4 linked regions of the Lytechinus pictus genome follow. The protein of the gene in region 1 purifies or fractionates together with the protein of each later gene. This does not show direct contact. Links are inferred from orthologs where the notes say so. Each region holds a gene or a part of one and is shown in the gene's direction. Other genes may lie near its edges.

Region 1 (8,476 bases):
TGATTCACGAACCTGCAAACGATAAAATTAATGAGTATTGATCAGCATCATAATACGCATAAGAATCATGTTCTACCTTTTGTTGTAGCACCACTGGTGTTGTAATGCCTGACCCCACCTAGCATCAGGTATTTGAGAAGATTGCGCTTTGCTCAATGAACTTTGTTTTAATAAAATCAAAGTCATATAACTTGAGTTTATTTTAAGTGGTGGCAGCGGTGGGATAGCCCATCATAATGACTGGAAGGCACTCCATATTACAATAGCAGGGGTGTATGTGACCAATTCAGAGATGCCAAATTCAGATACCAAAATTACATGACATTTTTCACAGGAAACCATGGGCAAATAGACTGAGATGATATATAGAAAAACGAGAAATGAGATGGGTGGGGGGGGGGGGAATAAGGAGCCATTCTATGGAGACTTATGCCTTATGAGTCTCTGCATGATATGAGTCAGCAAACATGCTGACTCATGCCTTTGTCAGCATGTTAGCTGACCAAGTGGTGTTTGTCTGTTCTCGTACTTAATAGATTTTTTAACCTTACTGTTACATAAACATTATCTTAATTCTAAGTTATTTTATTAATTCAAAATTCAAATTTTCTATTTAATATAGCTGCGACCAGTATCATTTTCATAAAATATGCCCTATTTATTGTGAACCAGCAAAACTATATATAATTCATTATCAATTCATCATGATCATCATCATTGTTACCATTACCATCACCATCATGATCATCATTATGATAGGGTGTCTGAAGCCACACTGAAAAGTGTCAGCATAAAACAGGCTGATTTAGGGGAAAATATGGCACATTTTTTCGGGGAAGTTCAGGCTACTAGAAAAATGTGATCTGAATTGATTATTATCTTGTGTTTGGCATGTATGGAAAGAGAAAATTCAGGGGCTTCTTTTGACAGTAAGGACAAGTTTATATGATCATTTTAAATAAGGATTTAGAGATAAATTGCAAACCCTTATTTTTGTGTGTGTTGAGATTGCCATTTCTCCATGCGTTTTCTATGGGAAAATGAAGTTTCTGTTTTGCACAATTTTTTTCACTTTGTCGCAATTTTTCATTGTGATCTGGTTTCCAAATCTTTATAAAAATTGTACCATCAGATAGAGCATAAAAAATCCTATTGGACTCTTTATGGACAAGTTTATGGCATTAATAATGAATTTATAACAGCTCTCGGAAGCTAAAAATTTGGATTTGTGTGTGTCCATTTCTTAACTACACAGTCTATGGCAGAGAAATGCTGAAAATTTACCTAATTTCATTCTTCTTTTTTGCAGCCAATAATTGGATATTTTTCAAAAATGTTACATTTCTGTCAGTCTGAAGGTCATTTCTCTTCAAATTCACAAAGAAAATGTGATATTTTCTTGAAATAAGAAAAATAATTTTTTTCTCCAGACACCCTAATTATGATCATCATCATCATCATCATTATTCTCATCACCATCAATTTAGATTATGATCTACATAATTGAACCCAGGGACAGATCCAGGATGTTCCAAAAATTAACCAAAAAGAAATTTCGTCCACAAAAAAGTTTGACAATTAAGCAAAATAATAGAAAAAAGGTCTTCATTTTCAAAAGGGGGGGGGGCACACTTCTGTTTTAACAGCATTTTTACATTACAAACATTACACGAGCCGGCTTTGCCCCCCCCCCCTTGGATCCGCCAGTGATTGAACCCTAATGAACAACTCACTCCTAGATAGGTTTGAACAATTTTTTCTGTTCTGTCTTTTTATTCACCGAAGCGGTTAGAGCTGAATAAAAACAAGACATGATATTTAGTGATAAGTAGGTTTAACTTACCCACCACCATTGTTTCTAATGTTGCGTTGATATTTGGGAGGAATGTCATCCAGATGCTTCAACAGGTTGAGAATGGATGTTGCTACATAGCTGTCTGGCTCCTAATATTTAAAGAACATTTGAAACAAATAAATTCTTTCAAATACATGTAGATCTGTCCTGGGTTTATAAAGATGGGAATCCAGTATTAATATTAGGCCTAATTAAGTTAACCTTGACTAAACCTTTAAAGGGGAACCCCATCTAGTTAAAAAAAAATTATTTCCAGACTTGGGTAGATAGATCATTCTAAAAACTGCAACTGTGCAGTCATGATTGATAACTGCATCTGTGGAATACTATAGTAGTAGTAAAAGCAAAATACAGATATTTTTCATTTCCCCCAAATAAGCTATATACACTCATAGGCCCATACGCACGAATTAAAACTCTCTACACGAGACTCTCTGTTATTTATTGAGATTGTTGTATTCACCTCAGTTCTCCACAGTTGTAATGCTGCATTGAGTTTGCGTGTGTAGCCTGCGTGGTGGCCGCGATGGTGCACTTTCAAAGTTGCACTGTCGATGTAAGGTTCTAAATCTTCGTAATCAAAAGGCAAATCTGGCAAATCATACTCTGATCTCATTTCTGCAATACACTCAAATGGATAAGAAATGCAATAACAGCTTGAGCACATATATAAAATGAAGAAAACTGCCAACATTTTGCTTTCTACGTAGCAAGCAGACGCCATTGTGTTGAATGAAAGTGCAAAAATTGCATGTTTTCTTCCACGCATAGGTCAACATGCACAAAACTGCTGTATTGATAACAAGTGAAATCCGAATTAGATTGGGGCAGGTTTTCTTGGAAAAAAAATCTTACCAAAGCGTAAATTAAATATGCCCCCTGGAAGTCAATCATCTGCTTGTACCTTTATTGTTGCTTGAAAAATATAGTTTCATTTGTATAAATTTTGTATAAATGAAGAAAATAAGCGAAATGATAGATCGAGGGAGGACTTTCTGCTGTTTGTGTATTTATGTTTGTAAATAAAACCGCCTATATAGCCAGGATAGGGGCGGTAAGTATACGCGAGGGGGGGGGGGGTGCAGGGAGGGTTTTAAAAAAAAAATCAGAAAAAGGCATTCATTTAGTGGTATAAAATGCATCTTGGTCAGATCAGATTCGATAGCAAAATATTTAGCCACAGAGTTGCAAAACGGGGTCTCGATGGGTATAGCGTTGAAGATGAGAAGTTTTTCTGAAACATTGACCTGCTCTAATTCATTTCATAGTTTCATTTTTCTTAGATTATTAAACTCGATTTACGAAGAAAAGAGCTAAAAATGGGAAAGGGGTGATGCTCGGAGAGGAATCTTTCCTTTTCTATACTGACACACGAAACACGCGTGAACCTCTGTGATTTGTTTTAAAAAAATACCTGATTAGAAAAATTTCATAAATCATAAATATTTATAAATAAATATTCAAAATTTCAAATCGATGGGGCAAAATAAGACATGGGATTGATGTGCCGCGATATGGAAAAAAGTTTCATCGTATATACTATATATATTTATATACATATATATACCTACAGTTTTGCCGGTATATAGCACAGCCGGGGATTTCATGTATGTCACTTTGAGCAGATACTTGCCCAATATTGCTTGCTTAAAAAGCGGAAGAAATAGCACATTGGGACTCGAATGCGGTAGTGTTTCAAAGCTTCGACCAGAAGAGCAGAAATTTTGTGTCGATACAATTAAAAAGATACTTTTTATGATAATTTACACCAATGTAATGTATGTAGAAAATTGAGTGTGGAAAACAAAGGGAAAGGCAAAGTTAGGCCTACTGATTTTCCTGCACAGAGCGCGAAAGAAAATTTTGTTTGAAGAGAGAGAAGAATGTCTCATTTAGGTTTATATTCTTTTGAAAAAAGAGAAGGAAAAACACTAAAGCTGTACCCTTCTTCCCCTTTCAGAAGGGGTGCAAACAGGGGCAGATGCAGAATTTTCCAAGGGGGAGGGGAGCATTTTTCCAAGGTCCCTAAAAATGAAGGTCATAGTGTCTCGTGTAAAATTTGACAAGCCCCCCAAAAAAAGAAAGAAAGAAGAAGAAGAATTAAGAAGAAGAAGACAAAGAAGAAGAAAATGTCCTTACTTCCCATTAAATATGTTAACTTTGACTCTCAAAAGGGGGATGGGGCACGAGCCGGAAATGCCCCATCCCCCTTGATTTGCCACTGGGTGCAAATACTAGGAAAATGAATGAAATAAGCTTAAAACTCTACTTAAATTCTTCCTATGAAGCGGAGAAACTGCGGAGCTCACCCTGCACAACATTTATAGCTATATAGGGCGGCGTCTCAAGCCACCTTTCAGTAAACATGGGGCTATAATGTAGGCTTACCAAAACGTGGAAATAGTATTCAAAATGAGATAGTGTGCATGTCCTTCCGGGTCCTTCCACCCCCTTTTAAAATCGTTCTGCGACTTATTACTAAATGATCACAATATAATTTCAATTCTTTATTTCTGAGCTAAATTCAACTCCCTGATTAGAGGTATCTAAAATAAATCCACTGGATTTTGATATGAATCCTAAATATTTTGCTCAACTCCTGATGATTTACATTAAAATCTTTAAGAAGTAAATCTAAACCAAGTGACTGAATGGTCACCAACCACACTATGGCTGTAGTGGATTTATCAAAAAGTCCATGAGATTTAATTATAAATTGTCATTTATACCTTGGTCACATTTGCTCTACGGCGGCCGTACGGCGAGTCGAAAACAGCCGTTTTAATTTTTTTTGTACCAACTACATATAGGTGGTTTGAATTAAAATTAATAAAACGGCTGTTTCGACTCACCGTACGGCCGCCGTAGAGCAAATGTGACCAAGGTATTGTGCGTTCGACCGCCCCTCAACCCGAATCCCCGGCCCCTCCCCCTATTTTATTTTGTTTTGGATTTTCAATCGCACGCCACCGTACAAAATATTCTCATCTCCGTTTCGAGGTAAGTAAAACGCCCCATTTTATTTCAAAATTAGCTGTATTTATAATGATGTGGTTATGTAGTAGATGCATGAGTCGAACGATATTTATTACTTTTCAAATAAGGAAGTTAATCCATGAATTGAAGTCGGATAATAAATTTGTAATCCACTTTTGGAAGCGAGCAAGATTTCACAATCGTCGCTTACGTTACGACTTACGGTACGGTGCTAGAACTTGTGTCCCCAAGACTCCGCTCCGAGACCGAGTCCCGCTGCGCTGTCCACGTAGCTTGGTCCACGTCCACTGTGATGTGCTGTCGGCCGTCGAGTGCGTGAGTGACTCATTCAAGATTTTTTTTAGACTGAGAGACGTGGTAATTTCTAATTATGGTATATGGTACAGGCCAGATCGTTTTTACGTTAGTATAATAATAGCACTTGCAAAACACTTCTTCAATTTCAAATTTTAAATTTTTGAATAAGAGAAAGAGGTGTGTGAAAAAAAGATGTCTGGGCTGGCTGCGCCTACACCTGTGTAGCCAGGCGGCTTCTTGAGAGTAAAAATCATTTACTAACGTAGGCTTACTCTAAACGAAGCCAGGGAGTCCTCCCTATTCATCTGCGTGTACCTCCCCAACGTTACATGACGCTCGCGTCCGTAACGTTGGGGAAGTACAATAAGAAACAAGATGGCGGCGTAAACATCGGGCAAGTCTCTTCCATCTTTTCACAATATTTTTTCATTTTTTTGATGAATTCTTGTTTAAAAATAACAAGAGCGTAGAAATGTCGGAAATGAAGTTTTATCCCATGTACGTGATTTAGAGCTAGATCTTTTAGAAGGAAAGTAGAAATCTCGGGGGCGAAAGTTTCAGGGTTTTTTGCGGTACACGCAGATGAATAGGGAGGACTCCCTGGCTTCGTTTAGAGTAAGCCTACGTTAGTAAATGATATTTACTCTCAAGAAGCCGCCTGGCTACACCTGTGTGAGTCGATCAAAAAAGTTTGAGGTGAAAATTTAAACAAAATTTTGTGTGTGGTTCTGGTAAGAAGCATATTTTCCCTTATGTGCATTGTATGATATTGCTGTTAGGCTAAATAGATTTAGATCTGCTGGAGCATTAAACATAGATCTACATGGTATGGCGGGGCTGTCAACTCCTGCCTCTCTTTTAGTTTTACTACTGTTTACAGTTTAATCGTGAAAGATAATTTTTGTAAACACCCCTTTGTTTATGATTCCAGCTATAAATTTGATAAATTGTTTGTCTCATTTGCAGTGTAGATTGAAGTGGCTAATCTAAAAAAAGGTTGCATCAGAGTAAGACCAAAATGTCAAGGGTGAGTAAACTTAAAGGGATACTCCAGGCTGAGAATATGATTTGAACAGATAAAGAAAATCAGACTAACATAATATTGAAAATTTTATCAAAATTGGACAAGGAATAACAAAGTTATGACATTTTAAAAGTTTTACATTATTCCGGTGAAATAATTATACATGTAGACTTGTCTTCATGAATATTCCATGAGCAAATTGATGATGTCATATCCCCACTTGAACTTTTGTATTTTATTAGTTTTAATATGACAGAATTATTAGTGTTATTATTTATTTATTTTTATCATTATTTTGACTATTTATGTTCATTTTTTGATAAATTTTTTTTACCAATTGTTTTTACTTATTTAATTAATTTTTAAACTTTATTTCTATATATATTTATTTATACGATATACATATATAGATATATATATATATTTTTTTTTTTGGGGGGGGTGGGGCTTACACTCATTGAAGCCTTATTGCAAGCATACATGTATGCAGCGGAGCAATATTCATGTTTCAAGTAAGAATAATTGCTGAAGTAAATAGCTATTTCATATTTCATTTGCTTTTGTTAAGAAGGTGTGATTGATTTCTTTTCCTTATTTCTTGCAGGAGCTGAAAGCAGTCCGTTGTCCAACGGACCAGCTTTCTTTGACAAATAGAGCGGTTGTATCAGACAGAGATGCTTATGCACGTGTTGAGTAAGTATTTTTCTTTTTCTTTTCAACATTTCCAAACTGTTTTCTTTGAATTAATGCTTAGCTTAAATATTGGCCTGGAACATTGGCCAGAGTCATAATGCTTTTGAAATCGGTAGCATACATGTAGGCCTACATGAAGCCTTATTATAATTTTAAGCAGAGATAGGCATAGGAATTTGAATTTTACTCTTTTTGCAACAAATTTTTTTAGCTATCATGTAAAAACTTGTCTTTCGCACCTCTAAAGGTCTTTTTATATCAATTGGCAGTTTTGAGCTAGACATACATATAGGGCTTCTTTTGATATTAGGTTAAGGAAGAGGAATCAAATATACAGTATGTACTTGAACATTTACATACAGAGTAAGCTTGTAGAAAGTGGATATGTTTACTGGGGAAAAGAGAACTGAAATAACATATGCATACAGAAAAGTTACATAATGCCTCCTAAGCTGTAATAAAAGTACCCTTTCATCAGCATAAAGAAAGTCATTTGTCTTTGGGGAATTGCATTTACATATAGGTCTGTTACCCAATTTCCTTGATAATCCAACATTTGTATTCATAGCTTTCTAATACTCTTCAATATGTTTACATCACATGACATTTAATGTGATGGCAATATAATGGTTGAAATATAAAACAACAGTGATGATAAGAAAGTAACTTTAAACATTTTTACCTGTTGTGAAGTGATACTTTGCTTTAAACGCTAAGGAAGATGTACCATATTTTCCGGTAAATACATTGCACCCTTTTCCCTCTTTAAAATAAAATCTTAAAAATCAGGTGTGTCTTCTTCAAAGAGACCACAGTTCAGCCTCAGTCAAGACACCATGTTTCTCCAAAGACAAAGCTGTAGGAACATCCAAGATACATACAGAATATTTAATATCAATATTTGACCTTTACTAAAAACAGAAAATGTATTGTGTAAAGTTTTAATAAAAGATCCCCTTTACAAAGTTTCTATATATCATCAGCATTATTACTTTTAATTTAGTAATGTTTTTATAAAAAAAACACTGTTTCATGATAAAGAGTTGGTTATTATTCAGAGGGTAAAATGCATGGAAAAATGCTCTATAATATAATCGTAATCAATTGAATTTTAATCAGTTGTAATTGTAATTGGTTATAATAGAAGGCAATACATAATGTTAATTATTCTTCATTTATTTTGTTTTATTTTTTCTCATTCAATTATTTTTATTACTCTTTCCCTTTTCAAGTTTTCATTCCATGATAAATTTACCATTGAATTACCATAATCTTCTTTATTCTACAAAGAAATAATCTTTATCCTTTGGAAATAAATCTTAGAAGAATTAAGTAAACATATTTAAGAAGAAAATAATTTTTTTTTCTGACCTTTTTGTATTTGGTAAAAATAACTTCCTGATTCACGGCAGTGGTTTATTTACTGCAGTAAATTACATTCCAATTTCCATGTTTTGCCAGGTCTTGAAGTGTCCAAAAGGAAGATTCTTATAATTTGTATAAATTTTGTGTCTTATATTTAGATCTAAATGAAAATGAATAGTCTGCACATATTTCTTTGCTCTGTATAACAGAAGCCAAGTGTCTTATAACTTAGGCCACTGAACACC
Region 2 (8,117 bases), on another chromosome or scaffold:
CGCCTTGTTTTCATAAAAAAATTCCCCTATCGGCCTCTAAAAGCTGATTTATTTTTTATTTTTATTCTTTTTAAGGTGTTACTTAGTCGTAGTATATAGTGATTTCTTAGCTTTATTCTTAAAAATATAAACAAGGTAAATGTATCTCATAATCCATAATTAAATGATTTGAACGCAAAGCGCGAGCTGATTTTTTTAATATACTGGCCTGAAAAAAAACCTTTTAAAGACTGTTTTGCAGTAACTCTTAGAGACGATACATATCTCAACAATTAATAATGCGAGTGCTAAGCGCGTTTTAAAAATTGTGATATGAAAACTGGACATTATAAATCATATAGGCACTTTTTGTAAACATAAACAGGATAAGATAATTCATGTAACCAACGAGTGCGAAGCACGAGCTAATTTTTTTTTCAGATTTAGACCTATAAAACACATGATTAGGATGGGTATAGGCCTATTTTCCTAAATGAATTATGCGAATTCGAAACGTGTGCTAAAATTGTTGATATTCTTATCTGAAACTCTATAGAACCAGCTGTGTTTTTAAATAAACAACGCGAGCGAGAAGCGCGAGCTGTTTTCTTTCCTTTTTTTTAATTTAGACCTAGAAACGGGGCATTCTAAACACATTTGCTATCATGAAAATGATGGGTATCTTATACAACCTAAATTATGTGAGCGCGGAGCACGAGCTGAAAAAATGATATTCCGATCTGAAAAAGGGACAATTTAAAGACTAGTTTACAGGAAATCATGAAAAGGATGAATTTTATTATATTCAGGTCTGAAAACAGGATTATTTTTAGGCACTTTTTTAAATCATGATCAGGATGCATGGGTCAAATCATTCAAACAATCAATGCGAGGGCGAAGCGCGAGCCAAAATTTGTGATAAAACTGTCATGAAAACAGGATTGTAGTTATAGACAGAGAGGTACGCCTATCAAAATGCGAGCGTGCAGGGCTATATAGCCGAATGTTGTCGATCAGACCTGAAAAGCATTTTTTTGAGAAATTAATGGAATAAGCTCGAGCTTAAAAGTTTTGATATTCCGGCCTGAAAACTGGACATTCTTGGTACTTTTTGTAAATATAAACATGATAGATAACCAACAATTGATGAGAGCGCGAAGCGCGAGCTAAATTTGTTCAGATTCAGACCTACCAACGGAACACCATTCATATAGGATAGGTATCTACTTAATTCCAATCTGACCTGGAGAACCTAAAAAACACGAGTTTGGCGTCCCCAATTCTGAAACATAAATTTGGCGCGCCCAGGTCAAACCTCAAATTGGTGCCCCAAGGATCGAACATAAATTTGGCACCCCCAGAGTTTGCGGTCATTAGGTGTCCCCTCATTTCAGGTAAATTTGCTGCCCCCCGGTCGTATATAAAATTGGCGCCTCCCCCTCCAGCTCTTTTATTACTTTTTTTTCTCTCTCTCTTCACGTCTTCTCTCCTTTCCCCATTTTCATTCTTTTCCCCGGGATCTTTTCCTCTTTCCCCTAGTTGTTCATTTCCTCCCCCCCCCTTCCCCCTTCCGTTATAGGACCTCCACTTGTTTTCATTTTGTACGTTTCAAAACTGCACATGCAGGTGATATATTTCTACTGTAAATGATTTATTATGAAATGTACTTTGAGAATTTATGGAATATGAATAAATAAATAAATAGATAAATAAATAAATTTATTTAGAGGATATGTGTCTCACTAATGATGCGCGCAAGGGAGGGGGTGAAAAGGTCTTTTTTTTTATCATCGGAACGTGGAGCGTATCTCCGTATAGTGCAATGATTAGCGATATGAACCACAAAATATGAGGTGGCACAAGGTGTGACAAAATTTTGTAAAAATCAAGAGCGAGCGAAGTAAGCGAGCATTTTTTTTTCAGTCTCTTTAAAATGAAAATCTCTTAAAATGAAAATCTCTTTAAAATGAAAATGATTTTGTGATAAAACTTAATATTCAGAAAGTGATCTTATCATCGTCATGTCATTTTCTTTCTTGAGTCTTTTTATAATTTTTGTCCTGGTCGTGAAACTTTTTTTTTTTGGGGGGGGGGGGTGGATGGGGCATGCATGCCAGTGATAGCAAAGATGAATGACCTGTGGTGGACAATGATCAATACTATAGTCCTGATCAATACCCCCCCCAAAAAAAAAAAAAAAAAAAAAAAAAAAAAAAAAAAAAACCAATATCCTCCGGATATGATGTTGTGGCTGTGGATTTGTGATAAACAAAGTAAAAATTTGAAGTGGAATGGGTCAGGGTATGAATGAATTTTATATTTATCCTAACTTAAGTTTTGAAATGAGAGAGAGCAAGTGAAATAGCTATTTTTTATGAATTGTCATGCATGATTTTCCTGAAATGTATGTCCATAGTTTGTGTTATGTTGTAGGCCTGCTTTGTTCTGTTAAACCAGAAGATCTTTATCCCTCTTTATATACACAACAAAAAAAGTAGTCCCCCCTAAATCAAATTGCTGTAACTTTTGAACGGAATTATTTTGAGATATGATATTTCATAGGTGGTTTTCTACACTCATTAAGCAACTCCTAGGGGAAAATGAGATTGATCAGTTGAGTCATGCATGAGTAATTAAAGATTGAATTAAAAATGACCATTTTTGAAAGTCACAAGAGTCGTTTTTCAGATTTTGCAAATACAAAGTTGGGCAAAAGTTATTGTTAGGTGCATTTTATGGTGTTAATGCCATTTTACTATCCATCATTTAGCCACTCCACACACAATTTTGATATCGTATGTTCATGGTTGAGTGAGCACAATATTGTAGGGGCCGCAGAAGCGGGGTAAGGGGGGGGGGGGCTGGGGACCCCCCACTTTTTTCCAAACGCATGTAAAAAAAATGTAAAAATGGCCATACGATTGTGTTTTTTGCATGGCCAGCCCCCCCCCCCCCCACACTTTTGGCTACGTCCCTCCCCAAGTCCCTCCCCCATACTTTGAAAACCGTTCCGTGGCCCCTGTATTGTGACGTATCATCATATGGGGTTTTGGTAGTATCCTCTACAACTTGTTAGGTCATATTAACATTTGAAAATGTTGGTGGCTCCCCCAATTATAGGCCCCTCCCCCATTTTTAAATTCTGGATCCACCCCTTATTTGTCCATAAATTAAACTCATCATGGGAAATTGTTAGGAAAAGAATACATTTATGCAGTATAAAGAGTATTCATTCCTAAGTTTTCGAATGTGCTCGCTCAACCATGAAAATGTTAGAAGTTCGGAAAGTGTGTGGTGATAGAAATTATTGATGACAAAAACAACAGCAATTAAAGTCACATTTGAAACCGAATTTGCCCCCAATATTCACCTTATTACCCTTTAAAATGAGTCTGTGACATTGAAAATACCAATTTTCCCACTTTGATGCGTGCTCACTGCTCACTCATCCATAAATGAACAAATCGATTTCATTTTTGCACAGAATTCTGCCCATAGGTTGATAAACATTGCTGCCAAATGACATTGCTAAAGACAGCCTTGAAAAAAAGTTCCACCATATTGAATAAGGGGTTACTTATTCTTAAACATATGCACCCATAATGTACACAAGTCTATGAGAGATGAAGTCAAAATTTTAACAAATATGAAATAAGGGTTTGTTTCATGGACGGTTTTTGTTACTTCTGCCGACAGTTATTTCATGAAACTTCGCACATGGCTTCAGAGTAACGGCTATCCAAAAGGTGCGCACACCAAAATAACAATTCGATACGGCACAGAGTGGGGCCAAGGCCTTGAACTTTCTTCTCATTTGCATAATTTTCGAATATCGTGTGCTCACTGATGCATTAAACATCGGGATTTTCATAAAAATCAAATCAAATGAACCATGCAAGGAGGTTTGTGACAGATATCCATAGTTACAAATTGCATTTTTTCCAATAACGTAAAAAAGAGCTAATCACATTCCACATGTTCATTCAAGCGTGAATGTTTAATTAAGCGCCTTTGAATCATTGAAGCATGTTAATTGGTCATGAACATAACGAACAAGTTGATAAAAGATCAGTTTCAATTCCCAAAATGAAACAATACTTGCCTATGATATTTGAAAATCGTATTTTTTGTTTACAATAAATGTTCATTGAATCGTGAAATGATGAATATTGATGAAGATACTCTTCCCAAAAATTATTGTCATCATATTCTATCATTTTTATTGATAAAAATGTGTAAAAACTCAAATTACAGCAAATTTGGACTTGTGTTTATTCAACCGTGAAATTTAGCCAAAAAAGTTGTATCGTCTTTTAGAAAGTACCTTTTACAAGCCTTCTGACTATTTTTCATGATGAGAATGCGGAATCAGTTCCATTAAAATGGAATCAAAGTCATGATATTTGGCTTGTGACTTTCGAAAAGTGACATTTTTGCCTTCTGACGGTGCTCACTGAAGCATGACGTAAAATATGTCCACAACATTTACTCAGATGGTAGCTTATAAAATTTCCTACACGCTCATGTAAAAATATATCAAAAACTCGCACTGGTTCGGAAATTATTGATGATTGTTCAAGGGGGACTTACTTTTGTTGTTGTGTATATTTACATAGGGTACCGGTAGTTCTCTCTCTTGCACTGTATGCATTTCGCACAGAGGATTTGGCGTTTATTATTAACATATTGTCTGATTAGCATAAAAGAATCATCCTCATTATCCTTGTAGCACCTCGGTACGGTGAGGCCTCGGTAGAAAACTAATCCATACAAGGCCTAAGGATCAAGGATCGTGATGTTGATTTAGTAATGATGAGCTGGAAGGCATCCGTCTGACATCGAACTGATGATATTTCAGCTCCAGTCGTTACCTCCCTCCACGTCATCAGTTCCACATGATTAGTCAGCGAATCGATGGGGATATGCACCGCTCGTAAAACAACAACTATAGGATGCTTGCTCGGTGTCATCCCAAATATTAATCACCTTTCTCTATAAATAATCGGTCTCGACCTCAGACTAACGAAAACAATCATTACAATCATGGCGGATGCAAGAAGGATCTCCGAGGCGAAGGAGCATATTGAGGCGGCCGAAAAGAGGTAATTGTGTGTCTTTTGTCTCTTTAATTTGATAGCTACTGATCCGTTATCAGTGCAGAATCTTGATGTGTATTTATGTTGTTGGATGTATCAATAAATGCAAAATTGTCGTCAATCCGTGACTTCGAAGACCAGCATTTTCATTCATTTGCTCTTGCTTCTCTTGATACCGTACGGCAGACCCTGCTTGCTGGCCGTGTGTGTAACTTCCTGCCACGGCTAGTTCCCCGTGGCCGTGATTGAGGATCGCTGCCTACGCTTTGCGAAGCTCGAAGTTATTAAATAAAGTAGACGAGCGGATGCACTCTGGCTCTGCGATAGTATCTAATGTTTGCCCGAGGCGGCCTGGCTGGGTTTGAGTTCAAAGGCTCGGTGCGGCCCCTTGGAGCATATTATTATTAAGTAATTTTTGACTTGCAGTTCAAATAATTTTTCAGCATCAATCTAGACTACTCTAGTCTAACTAAGTAAATGTGATGCATGCTTCAGAAGTTCAGTGTTCTTTCTCTTTCTGTGAATCAACTCCTTTCAGAGTTTCAACTTTCAGATCACTTTGTTGATTTATTCTATTCTTTTAATTCATAAATTACCATGTTTTCTTTTTGTTGTGATTCATTTTGATTTTCACGTCAGCTTGAAGACGTCATTCTTCAAATGGAAACCAGACTTTGGCAGTGCAGCTCATGAATATGAACAAGCTGGTAAGTATAATAATGAAATTATAGTTTATAAAAAAATGATCATCAGTGTAAGATTATGGTACGGTATATGATAAGGGCTATTCCACGGTTACTCACGTTACATTTGGAGACACCTTGACTCATACTTGGAGCTATAAATCCATTATTATTGATAGGAACTAAACATCTCCTTAATATCACAACAAAGTACACAGTCTGACTATCCTTTGTATAAAAAAAAACTTGGGAAATTTTATTATGCTCCTGGCAAATCTTTGGAATGTGTCGGTTACTCACGTTACATGATTTGGACATGCATAAAATGAAAAGTCGACATAAGTGAAAAGTCTCCTCATACAAGGCTTTTATGAAAGTTGATTATATCCATTTCAAAGAAGTACATTAGGGAGACAAACTTTGTACATAATCAAAAAAATAAAGAACACATGGTTTTTACTTGGGGTGCAGATAAAGTGGTTACTCACGTTACGGTTACTCATGTTACATTTTGTCCATGTATGGTTAACAACACAAATGTCATTAAAAATTCAATAATGTGTGTAAAATTCATTGCTAGGAACATCAAAAAGAGATTTTATACAAAAAATTGGAACAATTGGAGCTTTATTAGGGAGTAAGAGGGAAAAGTATGATTTTGCTTACTAATTATGCATAAATTAGCATAATTGCTTAATACCAATTTGCATGAAATAAATTACTGTATAGTATTGTAGATTATGTCCAAGACAACCTGCGTGCAAATTTTCGGCATGATCGTGCGGCCAATGGCCGAGATCTCAAGGGGGGCCTAGGAGGCCCCACCCACCCCCCCCCCCCCCCCCCCCCCCGGGGCCATATTAACTCCCAAAATACCCCAGCCTAGATAGGGTTAGGTAAGGACATTCAATGTGTTGTTCGAACACTCTTTAAAGTTTGGTTAATCGAAACCAAGTCTTACTAATGCACTCTCGCATTGTGAATACTTCTACTAACATTTAATTTTTTGTGTGATTGTATGACCACTGATATTTTGATGAACAAAGAGTCACATCAAAGAGGTGTACCCTCATTTTGCTTTTAATTAATCAAAAATAACTTCACAACTCACCATGAGACTTAAAACTTGACATCCCACAGAAAATGTTACCCAACTGCATAATTTTTAGTGGTTACTCACATTACATGATGGTTACTCACGTTACAAAGTTACTCACGTTACAGTTTTTCTTCATCATTTTTATAAAAAATTGTACTTTTTAATGATTTTGATAGTCATCACTGTGTCAAAGATTGTTTGAAGGAAGAGAATTTAAAATCCCACCAATTAACTGTGAAGAATTTTTCTCTCAGAAAACAAAGTCAGTTTTTTCGGTTACTCACGTTACATCACCTGAGCAGGTTGCAATATTCATTTTTGAATGAGTACTACAAATTTACTTGAAAAGCTGTTGTGTATTTTAGGTAATTTGACTCTTCTAAACTTCAGAAATATATAAAGTGGTATGTTGTTGCAATAACAAAATGGTAATAAGGTATATTTCATTTTTCACTATTTTTCTTGTATTTTGGTACAGAATGGAAGACACAAGTTTTGACAATTTTTTTCCAAAGTATACATATGAAAATAAACTTTTTATTTCTTGTTCCTGGAACTATCATGCATGAAGGACTTAAAGTATTAAAAAATTCAAGAAAATATTGAATTTGAATTTTTAAGCTCATGTCCACCAACCTGTGGAATTGCCCATAAGGTTCAGTTCTGGATGCAGGATCCATTGATTCTCTAGTATTGGCTAGCTCTTGATGGTATTTGGAATCTATTCTTTTCTCTGCCTCTTCTTTTATGTAATTAACCATTCTATCCAAGTACCTTTGGATTTGGAAGCACCTCAAGAAAATGGTAGATGATATGCAATAGATCTAGGTATATACATGTAGAACTGAATTTATCGTTACTGTTACCATATGCAGGGGCCGCAGAACGGTTTTCAAAGTGGGGGGGGGGGCTGAGCCAAAAGTTGGGGGCTGACTATGCAAAAAATCACAATCCTATGGTCATTTTTACGTTTTTGTACACAGTTTTGGAAAAAAGTGGGGGGACGCAAATGTTGGTCCCGTGTATAGGAGAGTCACAACCTATGCACGTTAAAACCAATACACTATTTGTCAAAGAATAGGGTGTTCAACCGGTGTATTGCACCTGCCGATTCCGGCAAAATTCAGGTCAAGTCAATCTTGAGACTTGACGTTCATATGCCATAATAATCAATATAATGATTGTGGGCATTAACGGAAAGACAAGACAAGACATGAAATCTAAATGCATTACAATGTACAAAATTGGATGATTAAATTC
Region 3 (7,922 bases), on another chromosome or scaffold:
TCAGTAGATCACGTGTTCTTTCTATAGGAGGGCATGTCATACATATTTTTAAAGATACATCATGGATAAAGAGTTTGTATCACCAAAAGAAAAAGCAGAAAGAGACATTTTGAGGGTATTTTATAGTCCATCAAAGGGAAAGTTGTTCACATGTGACATCACACATCCTTGTCGCATCGCCAATGGGAGGATCTCCATAGCATTAGTGATTGCAATATTCAAATGCTCATAACTTTCTCATTATTTGTCCGATTTTTCTCAAACTTTCTTTGTTCTTATTCTTTGATTTTTCTGTTTTGACACAAGCCTACTTAATTTTCTAAATGTTTTATTTCCCCTTTAATGTGCGCGAAGCGTGAGCTAAAATTTATGATATACTGACCTGAAAGGGAAAGTTTAAATTCATTGTTAACCATGTAGGAAATTTGTGAATATTATGGATTTTCATAAACGTAAGGTTGCAATGCCACAGTGGCACGTATATACAAAGACTTTCAAAATGACGGGCAAAATGATATGAATATGTATGTATGTATTTATGTATATGTATGTGTGTGTGGGTGTATGTATGTGTGTATGTATGTATGTATGTATGTGCAGGGATGTATGTATATGTTCAGCCTTGTTTGAAATTGTGGTACATAAACCAGGTAAACCGTCTGTATCACGTTTGCTTGAATGACATATACTTCTATCACAGAAGGTGATATGATAAAAGTATGATAATAAGAGTACAGGATGTGATGGATGTATGAATGGATACAGATCGGGTAAAGTATGGATGAACTCCCCCCCCCCCCCTTGTCTGTTAAATCATCCGCTCCTGCATGGTATAAATAATATAATAATAATAATAATAATAACGATAATAATAATGAGAAGAAGAAGAAGAAGAAGAATAGGCATTTATATAGCGCCATCTGTCTAGAAATAATCTATTCCGAGGCGCATTGTTTACTATCATTATTATTATTATTATGATTAGCCCGGCTTTAGTTCGAGCTGCCTTTGAGCGCTCAGTGCATCAGTAGTAGGTCGATGATTCAAGGAACTAATCCTGTCGGGTACCCATTCACCTCACATGGGTCGAGTGCAGCACAACGTGGGTAAAATTCTTGCTGACAGAAAACACGCCAAGGATGGGATTTGAACCCACGTCCCTCTGATTGAAAAACAAGGGTTGTAACCATTAGACCACGGCGCCCCCTTGAAGAAACAAAATGATAATAAATCTAACATAGAGGTAAGATGTATCTCCTATCATAAAGTAATTCGGAATTTGAATTGTTTTCAATGATATGAATTATAATGCATATGAATAATATAAACAAAATTATACAAATTGAATAGTGGTTTGCATAAACACATTATTTCTTCCGAGCCATTTTTTTTCACGGAGTAAGATATATGATTTGGGTGAATAAATAATTTTATGTATAGTTTTGTTCGTAAAAATTCAATAATTTCATACATTATGAGAGGTAATGTGCATATATACAAAAAATATATGGTAGCATTTACCTAGGCCCATTTAACATTTTTACATTATCCTAATTTTATGCATATAAATAGTTCAATATCATGAAAAAAATATGTGTTTTTGGTACTAATTTGATTGAAATATGCAAATTAGGCAGTAATTCATGTATACAAATTGTTTTGTTTTTATCGTAAGTGGTTTTCTTTCTTGCATCCACCTTAGGGTCGAACCAAGTAATGTATTTGTATTTTATGAGTAAAATAAATTAGAAAGGCAAAAGGGGCCTAAGCTTTCGATCCTAGCAGAATCTTCGTCGGAGGCAAAATGACAAACATTTAAAGTGGAACAACCATAATATAGACCACAGACAAGCTACAGCAACACTAGAAATAAGGAGACAAAAGGGGCATTAGGTGAGTAGAGAAGACCAATCAGGTTAGTGAAGGGGGTGAAAGAAAAGGAGTAGGCAGACACAAAGGGAAGTTAGTGTAAGTAAGGCCAGTAAAAGACCTCAAGCCAAGAGGGATTAAGATAATGAGGCAGGCAACATCAAACAGGATCTGGAACAAAACAGTGATAGAGGGTATGAGGAAGAGATGAATAACAAGAGAATTAGTGAGAGGTGGGTCAAACAGGTTACAAAGAAAGGCATAGTAAACTGGTGTATAAGAATGGGGGAAAAAGGAAAAGAATGGGGAACAACTGATAATGTGCAAAAGACATATAAGTATATATGATAAAGCATAAACAAACTGAGAGAAGAAGGTAAGTGTAAATATGTATCTATAAGTGATATGTATATAAATATATCCAAAAAAGAAATGTATATGAAAAAATATATAAATACACATATGGTGTAACTGATATTGTAATCCGCTAGGTGTGACGGGAAAAAAACCTAAGACTATATAGTAGGGGAAAGAAAAACTGTATATGTGAAAAAGAGGAAGCAAATTGCCTAAAAAGGTAAAAGCAAATATAGAAGAGAGGGGGTGTATTATGAAGAAACCATAGTATACATGTAAATAAGCAAAAGTGGTAAATCTAAAAGAGGTGAGTGGAGAAAAAAAAAATTATAATAATTATTATATCGCCTGAATAAGGAAGGAGAAATTGGAGCTGAGCTGTATATGAGATATGGGAGGAATTAATTGTATTTTGTAGATCATGTACCTTTATATATCAAAAACGGTCAAATGCATTTATGGTAATTTGGGAGTGACATAGTAAGTTTATTTTTATGAATACTTTCTTTTAAGATTGATAAATTGATCAATTTGATATATTTCCATTATGATTTACTCCACATAAATAGTTCAGGATACGTGAAAATACTCTAAGTTGTGTAAAATAGGTACATGCAGGGAGACCCCCAAATATTTCTTCGCAATTTTGATTCCTTTCATCCTCAATGTCTTTGTGTCAAATTTTAGAGGTGTTTGGGTTCATCATATGCATGTATTAAAGATAAATAATAAATGTGCAAATAACTTAATTATTTGCATAAATACAGAGTATCTCATTGGATAAATCTTTTTCTGTTGACCCAAGGAACATTTCTGTCAAGCGGGGCATTTTTACTTTTAAAAAATGAAGCGTTCAACTTCTTAACAAGTCTACTAGGGGAAAAAAAGGAAAAAAGGGAGGAGAGAAGAAAACTTACAAGAAGAAAAGTAAGCAGAGGAAGAAAAGTGAACAAAGTAAGGGAGGAGAATTGGAAAACTTACATGTGATTGCTGATGTGGTTTACGGTACACCATGTGGAGTACCATAGAAGAAGAAAAGAAAAAGAAAAAAAAAGAAGAAATGGATAGGCGAGAAAGTGGAAATTTAAGAGTAGGGTAATCTTTCTTGAATGTAGTCCTGAAAAGGACTGTAAACCAGAAGAGATTGATGAGTTGAAACAGCATGAGTAGTAGGATGGATGAGGAGGTGCTGGCTTGAGTCGGCGAGTAGAGATGAAGAGCAGAAGCAGTAGAGAGACTCGACGTTTCGGGCAGGTTGACTGTCCGTCTTCAGGAGTGATTGTATAAAAATGACAATTTCGCGCCTCGCTCTCACATTGCCAATTGAATGAGATGTTAATCTGCTCAATATGATAACATGTAGCTTTAAATATCCCGTTTTAAAGTCAATATGCACTAATAACTCTGCTCGCGATTCGATTTCTTCATTATCTGTTTAAGAGAGATACGCATCATGTTCATGCTCACTAAAAAGTGCTGAAAAGAAAAAAATCTTTATCCAGCGCTACGCGCTCGCATGATTTTATTAGCTGAGATACGCATCCTCTCCATGAAATCCGGCAAACTGTCATTGGGTAGATGTACGGGGGGGGGCAGATGTCCGGGGGTAGATGTCCAGGGGGTAATTAAATGTCCGGGGGTAGATGTTCGGGGGTAGATGTCCGGGGAGTAGATGTCCTAGGGGGTACTTGTCCGGGGGGTGGATCGATGTCCTTGAGGTTCAATTTTTAGAGGGTGGATATCCGGGGGTAGATGTCCTGATACGGTAAGGAACAACTAAGACAAAAAGTAAACTGGGATAGCAGGATAGCCTATAATAGGAATTAAATAAAAGAGATTGACATAACTATTTATTTATTAATCATTTATTTGGCACTGTAAAAATTCTGAATTAAAAAAAATAGTCAGGGCATTCTATTACAATCTCTTTAATTCATATGTAAATGCATCACAATTTGGCTTGGCCGCCATGATGTATGATTTTTATCAAATAAACCATTTATCTATCTATCTATATATCGAATATGGCAAGCATACAATGTAATCAGAAAAATTAAAGGGTTAAACTTCATCAGAATTATTAAACCAATTAGTCCCTTTCTCAATATAAACTAATTTCTGGCCTCCACATATACGTCTAGTCTCTAGACTAAAATGCATTGAAAATGTAGAAATATGTTAAAAGGGGGATTTGAAAAAAAAACGGGTGTCCGGTTCAACCTATACGAAGAAGAATATCATCGAAAAAAAATGAAGTTTTTGTTTTGAATTGTGGCGTGGGGGAAAATCCCTCTCCTTGTGACGTCATCACTCATGCGTACAATCAAAGGTCAAGTCACAGATGTAGAACTGACGTTATTTCGGAGTCGTGTCATCAACAAATATTAGGGATTTAGGGGAATTTTCACCGAGGAGAGCAATCGTTCAAGTATTCAATACGTTAATTTACATACTTATTTTGAAAATTATGGATATTTCTACATCATCTACCTTTGTTTGAACCTTGTTTACACATATTCGTGACGAGAAATTTGAAGCATTGCTTTACCAATAGGCAATACCGGTACGGTACCTGCGGCTACACACGGCAAGTCTACGGGAGAGCGTAGGCGCGACCTCCGAGCGACACCGGTCAACGTGGTCTTATCTGCTACTGTAGCTCAGCTCAGCCCTTCTTCATTACTTTTTTAAGATCTGAATTCTAACGACGTACAACGTTCCGTCAGAATTTAGACTTAGAGGCTCCCAACTAGAACTTCACTTTTTTTTCAGTTGTGTTGTGTTGAACTGAAGGAGTCATGTCACTTGAAGATCCTTTCTTCGTTGTGAAAGAGTGAGTACCGTAAGGCCAGGGTATAGACTATAGTCACGTATTGTATTACCGGACACTATTATGATTCCGGACGCGCGTATTACTGCGTTCTAAAACAAATTCGTACCGTAAGACTTCCGCAATTCAATTTCACAGAGCAATACATAGAACAAGATTGCAAAAACAAGGCGAAAAATCCAACTTTTACCTAATTATCTCTAAAAATGACAGAAAATGCTTAAAATATCATAGGGCCTATAACATAGACTTTAGTTTTGTATTAACAATTGATGTATTTTCTAACGGAAATATGGGCCTGATTTGCCGAATTTCAATCTCGTCCACTCCTTCGATCGAATGATGAGGTGTGGTGTATTGTGCCGGGTGATCGTCGATGGCTAGTTCTCAAGGTACCCCCGTGCGCGAGGTTTACCGTGAGTAGAGCCGTCAATCGGCAGCGCATCGATAGAACTTGATGAGCGTCACGATACGAACGCGAGCATATTATTATTGGAAAGTGCCATGGAACATGCAGCTAACAAGACAAAATAAAATAAGTTGTCAAACACGAATTTATTACCAACATCTGCTCAGATTCGATATAAAAAAGCAAATAATACTTAGAATTTACTCATGATATGATATAAGAAGAAAAAAATCACACAAATTTGCTCTTACATCATTATAATCAAGGATATCTTTACCCGTCCGGCGCGCGTCCGGAATCATGATGTAATTTGTCGCGCACGAAAATAATTGTTTTTCGTGGAGGGGTATGCGGCAACTGCGACGCAATGAAAATGGTTGGTAAATATAAAATAATTTTATCATATTCATAATTTTCATAATATTTGGAATAGCAAGTGTGATTTTTTCTTGATTGTATTTCCTCTAGTTGTCATTTTTAAAGCACTGAAATAAAGGTGTCCGGCAATAGGATACACTGCCATACTAGTATTCAACCCGTTTGGAGAGTTTCCTCAAATATATAGAAATATAGAATTTACCTGAATTTCAGACCCGTCTTATTTCCAAGAGCAAATGCTGGTTATTCTTTTTCCGTTATTTTTTTCTTCAACCAGTTGACTGTGTGCGCGGGCGATCGAATTATACGGCGACGGATTTTAGTACTAGTATTCAACCCGTCGGCACTAGTATTCAACCTAGCGATGAAAGATGGCCCTGTCTCTCAATCTGCCCTTGTCCCATCCGACTATGGACTAGACCATTTGAGATGAGACCAAACAGGGAGTTAATCAAAGCCAGAGACTTACATAGATCTAGATCTAATTTAGCAATCTAAACCCTTTTGAGATTTGCTATCAATCCTCACTAGGTTGAATACTAGTACCATTCAGTGCAAAAGGCCATCGCCGCATAATTCGATCCTCCGCGCATACAGTCGACAGATTGATAAAGAAAATACCGACAACAGATTACCCTGGACATAACAAAGGTATGAAATTAAGATAAATTCCCTATTTCTAAATATTTTGGGGAATATGTCAAAATCTTTGAATTATGCCGGGTTGAATACTAGTACCCATACGGTAGTGCCAGTGGAACAATTTGTCAAATCACAAGACCCATATCAAGACCTAGTTCATGTTAGTTTTTTCTCCTCTTACACAGACGCCGGTTCGCGATCGTGCAGCCGCCATTAGGGGGTAAACAATTCAAAATCCCCCGACAGGGAACATCGATTTTTGTCTTTATTTCATAATTAAAAAGATATAAAAGAACTGGGCCAAAATAAAGATTATTATCCTATTTGGCCTGAAATGCACCAAAACAGGAAAAAAATTAACTTAAAAGGGGAAAAAACAGTGACTTACTTTGACTGTCGTGCAACTCCACTCAATGGTTTTTCCGAACTTATGATACATAGACATATGGCCATTGAGTCCCTGTACAGATCGAGTTAGAACTATGGTCTCTGTAATTGGTGAGTGGAGCCAACGGAGTTCAGCGGAACAACCAATAAAACAGAGACCGAAGCTTTTGGTCCACATCATCATCAGTGTACGGAAGAAGGCAAGCCTGTCGAGACTTCCGGGCATTCCTTCTGATAGTGCTTGTTCAAACTTGACTATTTAAAATGACTTATAAATTACATGCATGCATGTTGCGTGGAGGGTGGACGGATATTTTTTAAGGGAGGATTTGATGATGATCCCTATTTGCAGTATTTTATCCTCTCTTTTGAAAAAAAAATACTGCTGGTTTAAAAAAAAACACTCGGCCTATATCGTAATCGTAATTCATATTTCTATATTACTTTAGAAAATAGACCTAGAATACCTTTTTTCATTCAGCATGTAATAAAAGTAGAAAGTACCTTAAAGTTGTCATCCATAAGCATTTTCATCTTAGACTTATGTCCGTTCCTAGATTTATTTTATCTTGACAGATAAAATAAAATATTGTGTCTCCGTTAAAATCAGTGAGATAGAATACCCTTATAATCTCTCCAAATTGGTATTCTGAGAACAATTTTATCTTTGTAAGACAAACCTATTCTTGAAGCAATGTCCAATGAGAAAAGTGGTTTTTACTCTCTCATCTCGTTCAACCTGAAAAGGAGTGAGATTGCATCAATTGCAGGACTGATCAATTGATTGACTTCCAATATGCTTGCGCTATACACTAGCGCATCTTTACAGAGATTACTTACCAAAAAGTGACGAAACTCTCATTTTTTTGTTGATGTCAATATCACATTTCAAAGACAGTATTGTAATAGTCAAGAAAAGTCTTATGAAATAATTCCCAATTCTGCAGGAATAATGTTAAGGTTTTGCTCTCAATAACAATATAATTTTTCTTAAATTTTCATTTTAACATTTGGAGCTAATTCAACTAAAATATTGCTGAAATGAATTTT
Region 4 (8,861 bases), on another chromosome or scaffold:
GACATCTTAAAGATGTTTGCACAGGCTTTTGAACGATTACCCCAGAGGGTAATATGGCAGCTCAGAGACAGGGCTGACATCATAAATTGCCTGGAAATGTCAAAATCATGCTATGGCTACCACAAAATGATTTACTAGGTAAAAATTTACAACTATATATAGACTGGTGTTTGCCGATCGAAAGAGAGATCAATAATGGAGAAAATGTGCCCCCCCCCCCAAAAAAAAAATAATAATAATTATATTTTCATTTTAAACAGGTCAAAAGTTTTGCTCGCTCGCTTCGCCTTCTCGGGACTTGTTGTGCCCCCTCAAATTTTTGGCTCACTGAGCTACTGGGAAAGATGTTGGACATCTGAAAAAATATTTCAAAGCCATATGTCAGCAGTGCCACCCAGCTAATATAAATGCATATGTTTATTCACCAATTATTGATTTCCAGTGGTACACCTCAAAAAAATGGATCCCCAGGCATGCAAGCTCTATAGCTTGTGCCCCTTCCAAAATCTGTCCCCCCGGGATAAGCGCTGGGGTTGCCCCAACACCTAATCGTATTAAAAAAACACTAAATACGACAGTACTAGTGAGTATGTTTCGTGGTAGGATGTAATGCTTTTATATGACATGGATTAATAAAATCATATTGAGATCTAATATTTTATGCCCATCCCCATTCTCTTGCAATCAGGTAACCCAAAGACACGGGCCTTCATGTACCAAGGAGGCAACAATGGTTTCTACAAGGCCGTCTACCATGCTGTACCCATGGTCGTCATCCCTTTCTACGTTGACCAACACGATGTTGCCGCCAGGGTGACCCCTAGGGGACTGGGAAAGGTCTTGGACAAGTTCAGTCTCAGTGTCGATATCATCCACTCCGCTTTGACTGACGTCATTACAAATGATAGGTAGAAGTAGTACTATATATTTTAATTTGTCAAATACTTGGCCTTTACTCGATATGTTTACTGCTTGTTCGAAAGTCATTATCCTAACAGTGCCTTTTCAATTAAAAATGCAAAATGCTAAATAGTTAATATGCTAACTTTTGGAGATGTTATAGTGGAAATCACACTGAAATATAAGTTGGATTAATTACTTGATGACTGTCATGGCTGTTGGATCCCGAGTTTGGTAGTCTTGATTAATTCCCGTTTTCGATAAACACATATATAAACTTTTTTGGCTATATTCCAAGTTTTGGACTAAAAACAATGGGAATCAATGTGTTTAGTTGGCTCTTGGCTTTATACGAACCGAAAATAATGTGGCCTACAATATATTTGATATAGGCTTAACCGGGGCTTAGCATGTTTAAGGGTGACGGATCATGAATGATGGTTAGCCCAAATACAATTCCTTGAAGATTCATGAAAACATTTTGTGAAAATGAGTGCCTTCCAGGTCACAATTCTTTACAGTTAAACGGATGTTTAAATAATTCCCAATGTATGTGATATATTACATGTATCTGTCATATTCCTTTGGATATACATGCACATCATCATGATCATATGCAGATGACCAAACAATACCACCTTTTTAGATATGAGAATCTCTCTCTTGATTTAAATGTAAACGAATTGAAACAGAAGAAAAGATGTCTTAAATCATAATGAAATATTATAACAAATTACATCATAATCTCATGAAGTTGATTCTTATCGTTTTATTTATAATTATTATTTGCAGCGGTACGGCAAAAATATTCAGCGGACTTCGGCAATCTTTAGGGATCACGACATTACCCCACCCGACACCGGTATATTCTGGCTAGAACATGTGATGAAATATGGAGGCTCCTATATGCGTACACCAATAAATGAGCTCAATATCATTCAATACTATTTGATTGATGTTATCCTGATTTTCATATTTTCTACGGCTTTGGTCATATAGGGCTTCTTGTTTGCTCGCGCCGTTTACTGATCCGATGCATTTGTAAAAGGAGAAAAGAGAAAGTTGAGTGACATTAATTTGTTTCTCGCTTTGAAGACCTTGGCACTGATCGGTGGGATCAAGGGCGGATCCAGGATTTTCAAAGGGTGGGGCCACATCATGTTTCCTAGGTAAAGGTGATCCTCACTTGTGTATGAAGACCATATTCTCATTCGAAATATATGCTGTGACTCTCAAAGGGGCCGGGGCACACTTGTGTATGAACAACATATTCACATTAAAATATTGACTATGTGGCTCTCAGAGGGGGAGGGGGGCTGGGCAAGGGCCGAATTTCCACCCCCCCCCCCCTGGATCCGCCACTGGGTGAGATGTCGAATTGACAGTAATTATGATTAGGCCCTATAAACCAATAGATTTCACTCGTATGAAATAAATCTGGGAAAATATGAAAAACGCACAAATATTGATTCGTGTCGATGGTCTTCGAAGCAACATTGCATTTGCCCCCCCCCCCCCAGAAAAATCGTATGTGACAGTATGGTGATCCCCCTCCAAAATCAAGTTTTTTAATTAACACAATAATTATTATAAAGGGTAATGTTTCAAAGTGGTTGCTATTGTGTGAATGCCATAATTATGTTGATTAACACCATATAGGTTGTTATTTGTAGTCGTAACTTACCTTGTATATATTAGGATTGATTTATGTTTTCTTTTATATATGTATTTGTTTGTACATTGTATTTTGTATTTTTAAACGTGTCCACTGGACCCCTCAGTAGAACAGCCTGTGGCTGAAGAGGGCCATCCAGCCCACGAGTGGAAAATAAATAAATAGATAAATAAAAATAACATCATACAAAGCATTTCCCTGTAGTTTATATGACTATGAAATCAAATCCATTTTTTCACATCTTCAATCCATATGCCTGCATTTTCACAGTAAAAGTCTTCTTGCATCGGATAGAATATAAAAAGGGTAGGCCTATACAATATCGATTCGCCACCTTCGTTTTTCTTTTCTTGTTAAAATGATTGGAATATTTACACTTTATAATAATACAGGCCTGTAATGTTATATGATATTTTTATCCCACGGGAATAAAAACAACAAAAAAATGATACGATTTTCTTTCTTCAGTATGATTATATGATATTTCCATGAAGGCATGAATACAGTCTTAAAAATAATTTAAACAACACTGTTTACTACGTGAATCGCACAGTAGTACGTTGTTTAACAAGTGCTTAAAATCTTAAACAATCAAACCTATATTATTGATGATTAAATATTTGAATTTAAACTGTTGTTTAAGATTTTAAACACTTGTTTAAAATGTTTAAACAACTACTGTGCGATTCACATTGTAAACAGAGATGTTTAAATTGTTTACGTACTTAATTTGTACCAGACAATGCTTGTTACTATTCTAATATATGATTGTTAAAAAATAGATGATCTTTTGTACCTTATATCATAAATCGTTTTGTTTAATAATAAAGAAAGAGATAATCCCATTATCTCCATTACTTGACAGGGAATTCTTGAAAATTGTAGTTTTGACTGTTAACACATGATTTACTAATTGTGACGATTTTTTTGCCAGTGGAGAATCAAATATATTTTCTGAGCAGCACTATGGGCGTAATTATTTAATTGGTTGGGTTGCAAACACATTCAGAGGTAATATCTTCCAGTGCCTGTAGGGGCGGGGCGGCATAGGCCTACAGTGGGCAGGGGCGCGAACCACTTCTTGCACTAGGCCTACGGGTTTTTTTTTCTAAAGTGAGAAGAAGAAAACAGATCGAGAGAAGAAGGAAGAAAGGAGAATAAGAGCATTAAGAAACTGAGAGAGGAGTAGGTCAGAAAAAATGGTCGTCGTGCCTGCCCCCTCTCCCTATTAAAATATCCTTGCGTCACCCCTGATCCTTCATTGCTACATAATGAACCAACTGCGAAGTAGGTATGCCTATATGTACAGGGGCGGATCCAGGATTTTCCAAAAGGGGGTAGGGCAAATTTTTCGGAGGAAAAATAATCAACCACAAATTAAGTATATTTCGTACCCGAAAAAAAGGTCTTCAATTTCAAAAGAGGGCACACCTATGTTTTAATGGCATTTTCACATTACAAATTCTAATTTTGCTTCTCAAGGCCGCGCCTGATGTATAGGCCTATTGTTGTCTGATCCGACATCGGCGGAACCTAATTGAGTCATATTCGAAAGCAACCGTGTACCGGGCACTGAGCACTATGTATACCGTTGATACTAGAAATTAAGTTTTAGCCCCGATTCCCCATTCACCCATACGGTACAAGACGGGGTCGGTGCCCATCAAAAACCCCAAGTATCACTGCAAAACTAAAGTTTACTTCTTGAAAGATCTTTTGGCAAAAATAATTAGAATTAATCGCTCCGATTACTTCTAAGCTACATAAAAGCGGCATATAGAACATGATTGGAATTTATCATCCAAGGGTGACATATCAGGTTGCGGAATCGCGATCTCGATTGCAGTCGTCACCGCCCATGTGGCATTAGCCCCCGGTGCCCCCATAAATCCAGACGGCATATCACTGATCTTCCCGCCGCCCCCCTCGGTTCAAAAAATGTTGGTGCCATGTGCACCCGGTGGTCTAATGAAGGTTTATTCGAAACTCATATTTCCCATAGACTTATGGGGGCTGTATTAGGCCCTATAGGATTTATATAATCAATTCCTTGAATGCGCCTGTAGCCAGCTGAAGCTAGCTAGCCGGGATATATATATATGCCTATTGTGCGCCATTGATAGGCAAATAGATAATCGGCGTTTCATTAATGCTCTATATTATAATTATTAATAATTCGCATAAACTGAAGAAATATACCTGATTCAAGAAGAATACTGAAATGTTAGCATATGAGTCACTTCACAGAACTTATATACCGGTATACCCCACCCTCTTTTATCATCAACTTTAATTCTTCTGGACATGGAGTTTTGAAATATGACTTTTATATCAAATTACAAGTATTCTGCAAATAGCAAAAAAAATGAATTGATTTTCAAAAACTGTTTGTGTAATTCTTTGCTCAAATTTCTTTGAAATTAATGAACCTTGTAAACGTGCTTGCTTAGGCCTTTAGCCCGATCTTCCGTCGATGTGTTTATACATGTATTCCACTTTTGTAGAGTAATAATTAGGCCTTAACTCACGTTGTCTTACCCTGAGGAAACATGGTAAAACCAGTGTAAAACTTGTTTGCTTTATTTATCTTTTTTTCTCTCACGTTATGTTTTAGACACTACCATTAATAGTCGCCAACTTCATTATTAAAAATAATTTTTTGACGACATGGCAGCGTCCATCAGAGAAAAACAGATTGGTAAGTTGAAAAAATAAATTCTTTGTAAGTTTTTCTAAACATTTTATGTGGATAATCATAGCATAATTTTATGATAGGAACAAATATGTTCAGATGAACATAGCTTTGTTCACCATGTTTTAACGTTAGCCAATTTGACAAGACATTACCGGACGAGTTGAGTGACTGTTGTCCCATGTATTATTTTTCGTGTGAGTTGTGACGTGGCTATTCTCGACTCTCGGCGCGGCATATTTGTTAAATTGTTTCTCAGACTCAGTCTCGGCCTCGTAATTAAGAAGGCTATTTTTTTTTCATACATTCTGTTTTCACAATTCATTTGGAGAAATATTTAGACCATAAATCACGCTAGTCCCGTGAGTATGGTCAAATACACGGTAAGCCCCTGGGCTCCCGCCCGCGCAGCGGGCGGGAGTTCCCTGGGTTACTTTCTTTACTTTCTTACTTTTTCTGCCTCCAGCTGCAGCTCTGGCATCTGCTCCGACCTTGCTCTTGCCTTGCTTGGTTTGGCCTTGGGCTTGGAGAATGTTGTAGAAAAGTGCACAGACGTCGACTTCGGCACCTCATGATCTTTTAACTTTAAGTAGGGTGTCTGAAGCCACACTGAAAAGTGTCAGCATAAAACAGGCTGATTTAGGGGAAAATATGGCACATTTTTTCGGGGAAGTTCAGGCTACTAGAAAAATGTGATCTGAATTGATTATCAACTTGTGTTTGGCATGTATGGAAAGAGAAAATTCAGGGGCTTCTTTTGACAGAAAGGACAAGTTTATAGGATCATTTTAAATAAGGATTTAGAGATAAATTGCAAACCCTTATTTTTGTGTGTGTGTGTTTTGTGTGTGTGACAGAAAGGACAAGTTTATAGGATCATTTTAAATAAGGATTTAGAGATAAATTGCAAACCCTTATTTTTGTGTGTGTTGAGATTGCCATTTCTCCATGCGTTTTCTATGGGAAAATGAAATTTCTGTTTTGCACAATTTTTTTCACTTTGTCGCAATTTTTCATTGTGATCTGGTTTCCAAATCTTTATAAAAATCATACCATCAGATAGAGCATAAAAAATCCTATTGGACTCTTTATGGACAAGTTTTTGGCATTAATAATAAATTTCAAACAGCTCTCGGAAGCTAAAAATTTGGATTTGTGTGTGTCCATTTCTTAACTACACAGTCTATGGCAGAGAAATGCTGAAAAATGACCTAATTTCATTCTTATTTTTTGCAGCCAATAATTGGATTTTTTTCAAAAATGTTACATTTCTGTCAGTCTGAACGTCATTTCTCTTCAAATTCACAAAGAAAATGTGATATTTTCTTGAAATAAGAAAAATAATTTTTTTCTCCAGACACCCTACTTTAAGAATTGAATTTTGTTTTGTGTTTGTTTTCTTGAATTGAGGTTCACTTAACTCTGTATCGGTAGGCCTACTGTGTCTGTAGCTTATTATTATACTGTTTTGTAACAAGAAATCTAATTTATTTCAATTGTCTAATTTTTGTAAGTTAAAATGAATAGTAGGTCTATGGCTATTTTGTGCTTTTTTTTAGTTTAAATTTACACTTATTTCAACTCTCTCTCTTTCTTTTCGAGTTTATTACTTTGATTCTACTCAATTTTCTCCTCATAATAGCAATCAACAAACATATAAACATACAATATAATACACAATATAGGTAAAATTTTGCTTTAAAAAAAGAATAGCATTTTTGGTCATAAGAGAAAAGCTCTCAACTAAGTAATGTACAGTCCTATGTAAATATATGCTTTAAAAAAACTTTATACATAGCAGTCTTTAAAAATTGTGGAGCAAATTGCGATGCAATACCAGGAAAATTATTCCCTGCAATAAAATTTGTAAAGAACATGAGTGTAGGCAGTGGCAAGAAAGGACGAACCTTATAAACGCCAACCCAAGATACTTAACATAATGGTATAAATTGAAATAACAGAAATTATTTCCAGTAAAAATAAGACAACTAAAAGCCGAACAAACCCTAGACAAACTATAATACCAACAAGAGCTTATATATCAATGCAAATAATTCTGACCAAGTAAACAAGTTTTATATATTTCTCTTTTAAAACATTTAGTGATTTACTTTAAAACAAATTTAAGTTGGAATCAAATTCCAACTGTAAGACTTATGGAATGCTAGTAGAGCACATCCCAGTGGATTTTGTAAGAATTTGGTCATGAATAATAATGCTAAATTGCTTATGCAGCTAAAAATTTATGTTTAGATAAATGATTTTCAATTTGTTACAAATAGCAGTACCATATTATAAAACTTTTCATGTATGAAGCGAGGTGAATTAAAAATGTTAATTTATTATTATTTATTTTTGTACCAGCTGCTTTGAAGCGAATGCTGAATCTGAATGCAGTTCCGACAAAAGCTTCACTTGCAGAACCAGCATGGAAGGTAAAACAAAATATTTAATGAGTATTGCTTTTGACCCACACCTACAAATAATCATCCTCTAGTATACAAATAATGAATGTTTATGAGTGCAATGGACAGAATTTCTTATGAGGTGAAAGATGAAATGATCCATTTACGCCTCACTGAATGAAGTATTCTGTCCATTGCACAAATGATAAGAGCATTCATTATTTGGTCTATATGACACCTAAAAACAGATTCTTTTTCATATGAAATTTATGAATGCAAAATATGCTCACGCAGTGCAAGCTTGGTCTGTTGATTGTCGCGTACATACAACATGTGTGCTGCAAACACGAGTGATTTATTTGTGGTGCCTGCAGTCTGGGTGCACGCGTGCAACTGACAAAATTGTATAGATCCTAAATTGCATGATGAATAGATCCAAAGTTGCATGGATGATGATGTCATTGTAAATGGGCTGAATGACCAATATCAAACAACCAATCAAATGACAATGATCTATCTAGGTGTCATATAAATCTAAATATTTAAAAAGTGGTTGTTACCAGTAGTTCTTGCTGGTTGTTGTTGTTTTTTTTTTTTTAAGTGATATAAATATAAATAATATAAATAATGAAAAATCCCCTCTTTGCACCCAAAAGTATATCTCTAAGTAAATACAATAATGAAGTACCTTCTGTTCTGATTGTTTATATTTTATTTGATCATTTCATCATCATATTGTATTCTTCTTCCAATCTCTTCTGATCCACTTATTATTTCTTATCCTCATGCCTGTGAACATCATCATGATGGTCTACTAAATGGTATCAACATACAACTTTACCAATGTGTTTACAGGTTCTTGTATATGATCGCTTTGGCCAAGATGTTATATCTCCTCTTCTGTCAGTAAAGGAGCTCAGAGATATGGGAGTAACACTTCACTTGTGAGTTCATATATTTTTGATATTCAGTTGTTTTAGACATCACAGAGAATTACGAATTAACATTGACTACATGTATGTTTCTTGTTGCCAAGTAATGCATTAAGGCAAATTACCAAAAGTCAGTTCCAGCTGTTTCAGCATGAATTTACCTATACAAATGTGTTAATGCCTTTCACATTAACTTTTCTGCATTCCCCAATGTTTGGTTTATTATGAAATGTCAGGGATTAATGATGATTAAGGAT

The links.
Region 2: the proteins of vesicle-fusing ATPase-like (region 1) and gamma-soluble NSF attachment protein-like purify together in Homo sapiens (affinity purification with mass spectrometry; 3 studies listed by BioGRID and IntAct, with this or other methods). This does not show direct contact. The link is inferred for Lytechinus pictus from reciprocal best matches to the Homo sapiens genes NSF and NAPG.
Region 3: the proteins of vesicle-fusing ATPase-like (region 1) and syntaxin-6-like purify together in Homo sapiens (affinity purification with mass spectrometry; 3 studies listed by BioGRID and IntAct, with this or other methods). This does not show direct contact. The link is inferred for Lytechinus pictus from reciprocal best matches to the Homo sapiens genes NSF and STX6.
Region 4: the proteins of vesicle-fusing ATPase-like (region 1) and sec1 family domain-containing protein 1-like purify together in Homo sapiens (affinity purification with mass spectrometry; 3 studies listed by BioGRID and IntAct, with this or other methods). This does not show direct contact. The link is inferred for Lytechinus pictus from reciprocal best matches to the Homo sapiens genes NSF and SCFD1.

Annotation. Positions count from the first base shown.
Region 1 is NC_087245.1:20,381,907-20,390,382, forward strand, and holds the start of vesicle-fusing ATPase-like, read left to right. Parts: upstream 1-4,813; 5' UTR 4,814-4,855; intron 4,856-4,871; exon of another isoform or gene 4,872-5,167; intron 5,168-6,115; 5' UTR 6,116-6,167; coding exon 6,168-6,176; intron 6,177-6,777; coding exon 6,778-6,866; intron 6,867-8,476. Other genes in the region: superoxide dismutase [Mn]-like, read right to left, coding at 1-12, 1,844-1,944, 2,319-2,624.
Region 2 is NC_087246.1:25,045,968-25,054,084, reverse strand, and holds the start of gamma-soluble NSF attachment protein-like, read left to right. Parts: upstream 1-4,545; 5' UTR 4,546-5,022; coding exon 5,023-5,081; intron 5,082-5,714; coding exon 5,715-5,782; intron 5,783-8,117. UniProt on the Homo sapiens protein: Required for vesicular transport between the endoplasmic reticulum and the Golgi apparatus.
Region 3 is NC_087259.1:2,726,158-2,734,079, reverse strand, and holds the start of syntaxin-6-like, read left to right. Parts: upstream 1-4,543; 5' UTR 4,544-5,024; coding exon 5,025-5,059; intron 5,060-7,922. UniProt on the Homo sapiens protein: SNARE promoting movement of transport vesicles to target membranes. Targets endosomes to the trans-Golgi network, and may therefore function in retrograde trafficking.
Region 4 is NC_087251.1:20,937,537-20,946,397, reverse strand, and holds the start of sec1 family domain-containing protein 1-like, read left to right. Parts: upstream 1-5,194; 5' UTR 5,195-5,242; coding exon 5,243-5,273; intron 5,274-7,631; coding exon 7,632-7,702; intron 7,703-8,527; coding exon 8,528-8,616; intron 8,617-8,861. UniProt on the Homo sapiens protein: Plays a role in SNARE-pin assembly and Golgi-to-ER retrograde transport via its interaction with COG4. Involved in vesicular transport between the endoplasmic reticulum and the Golgi.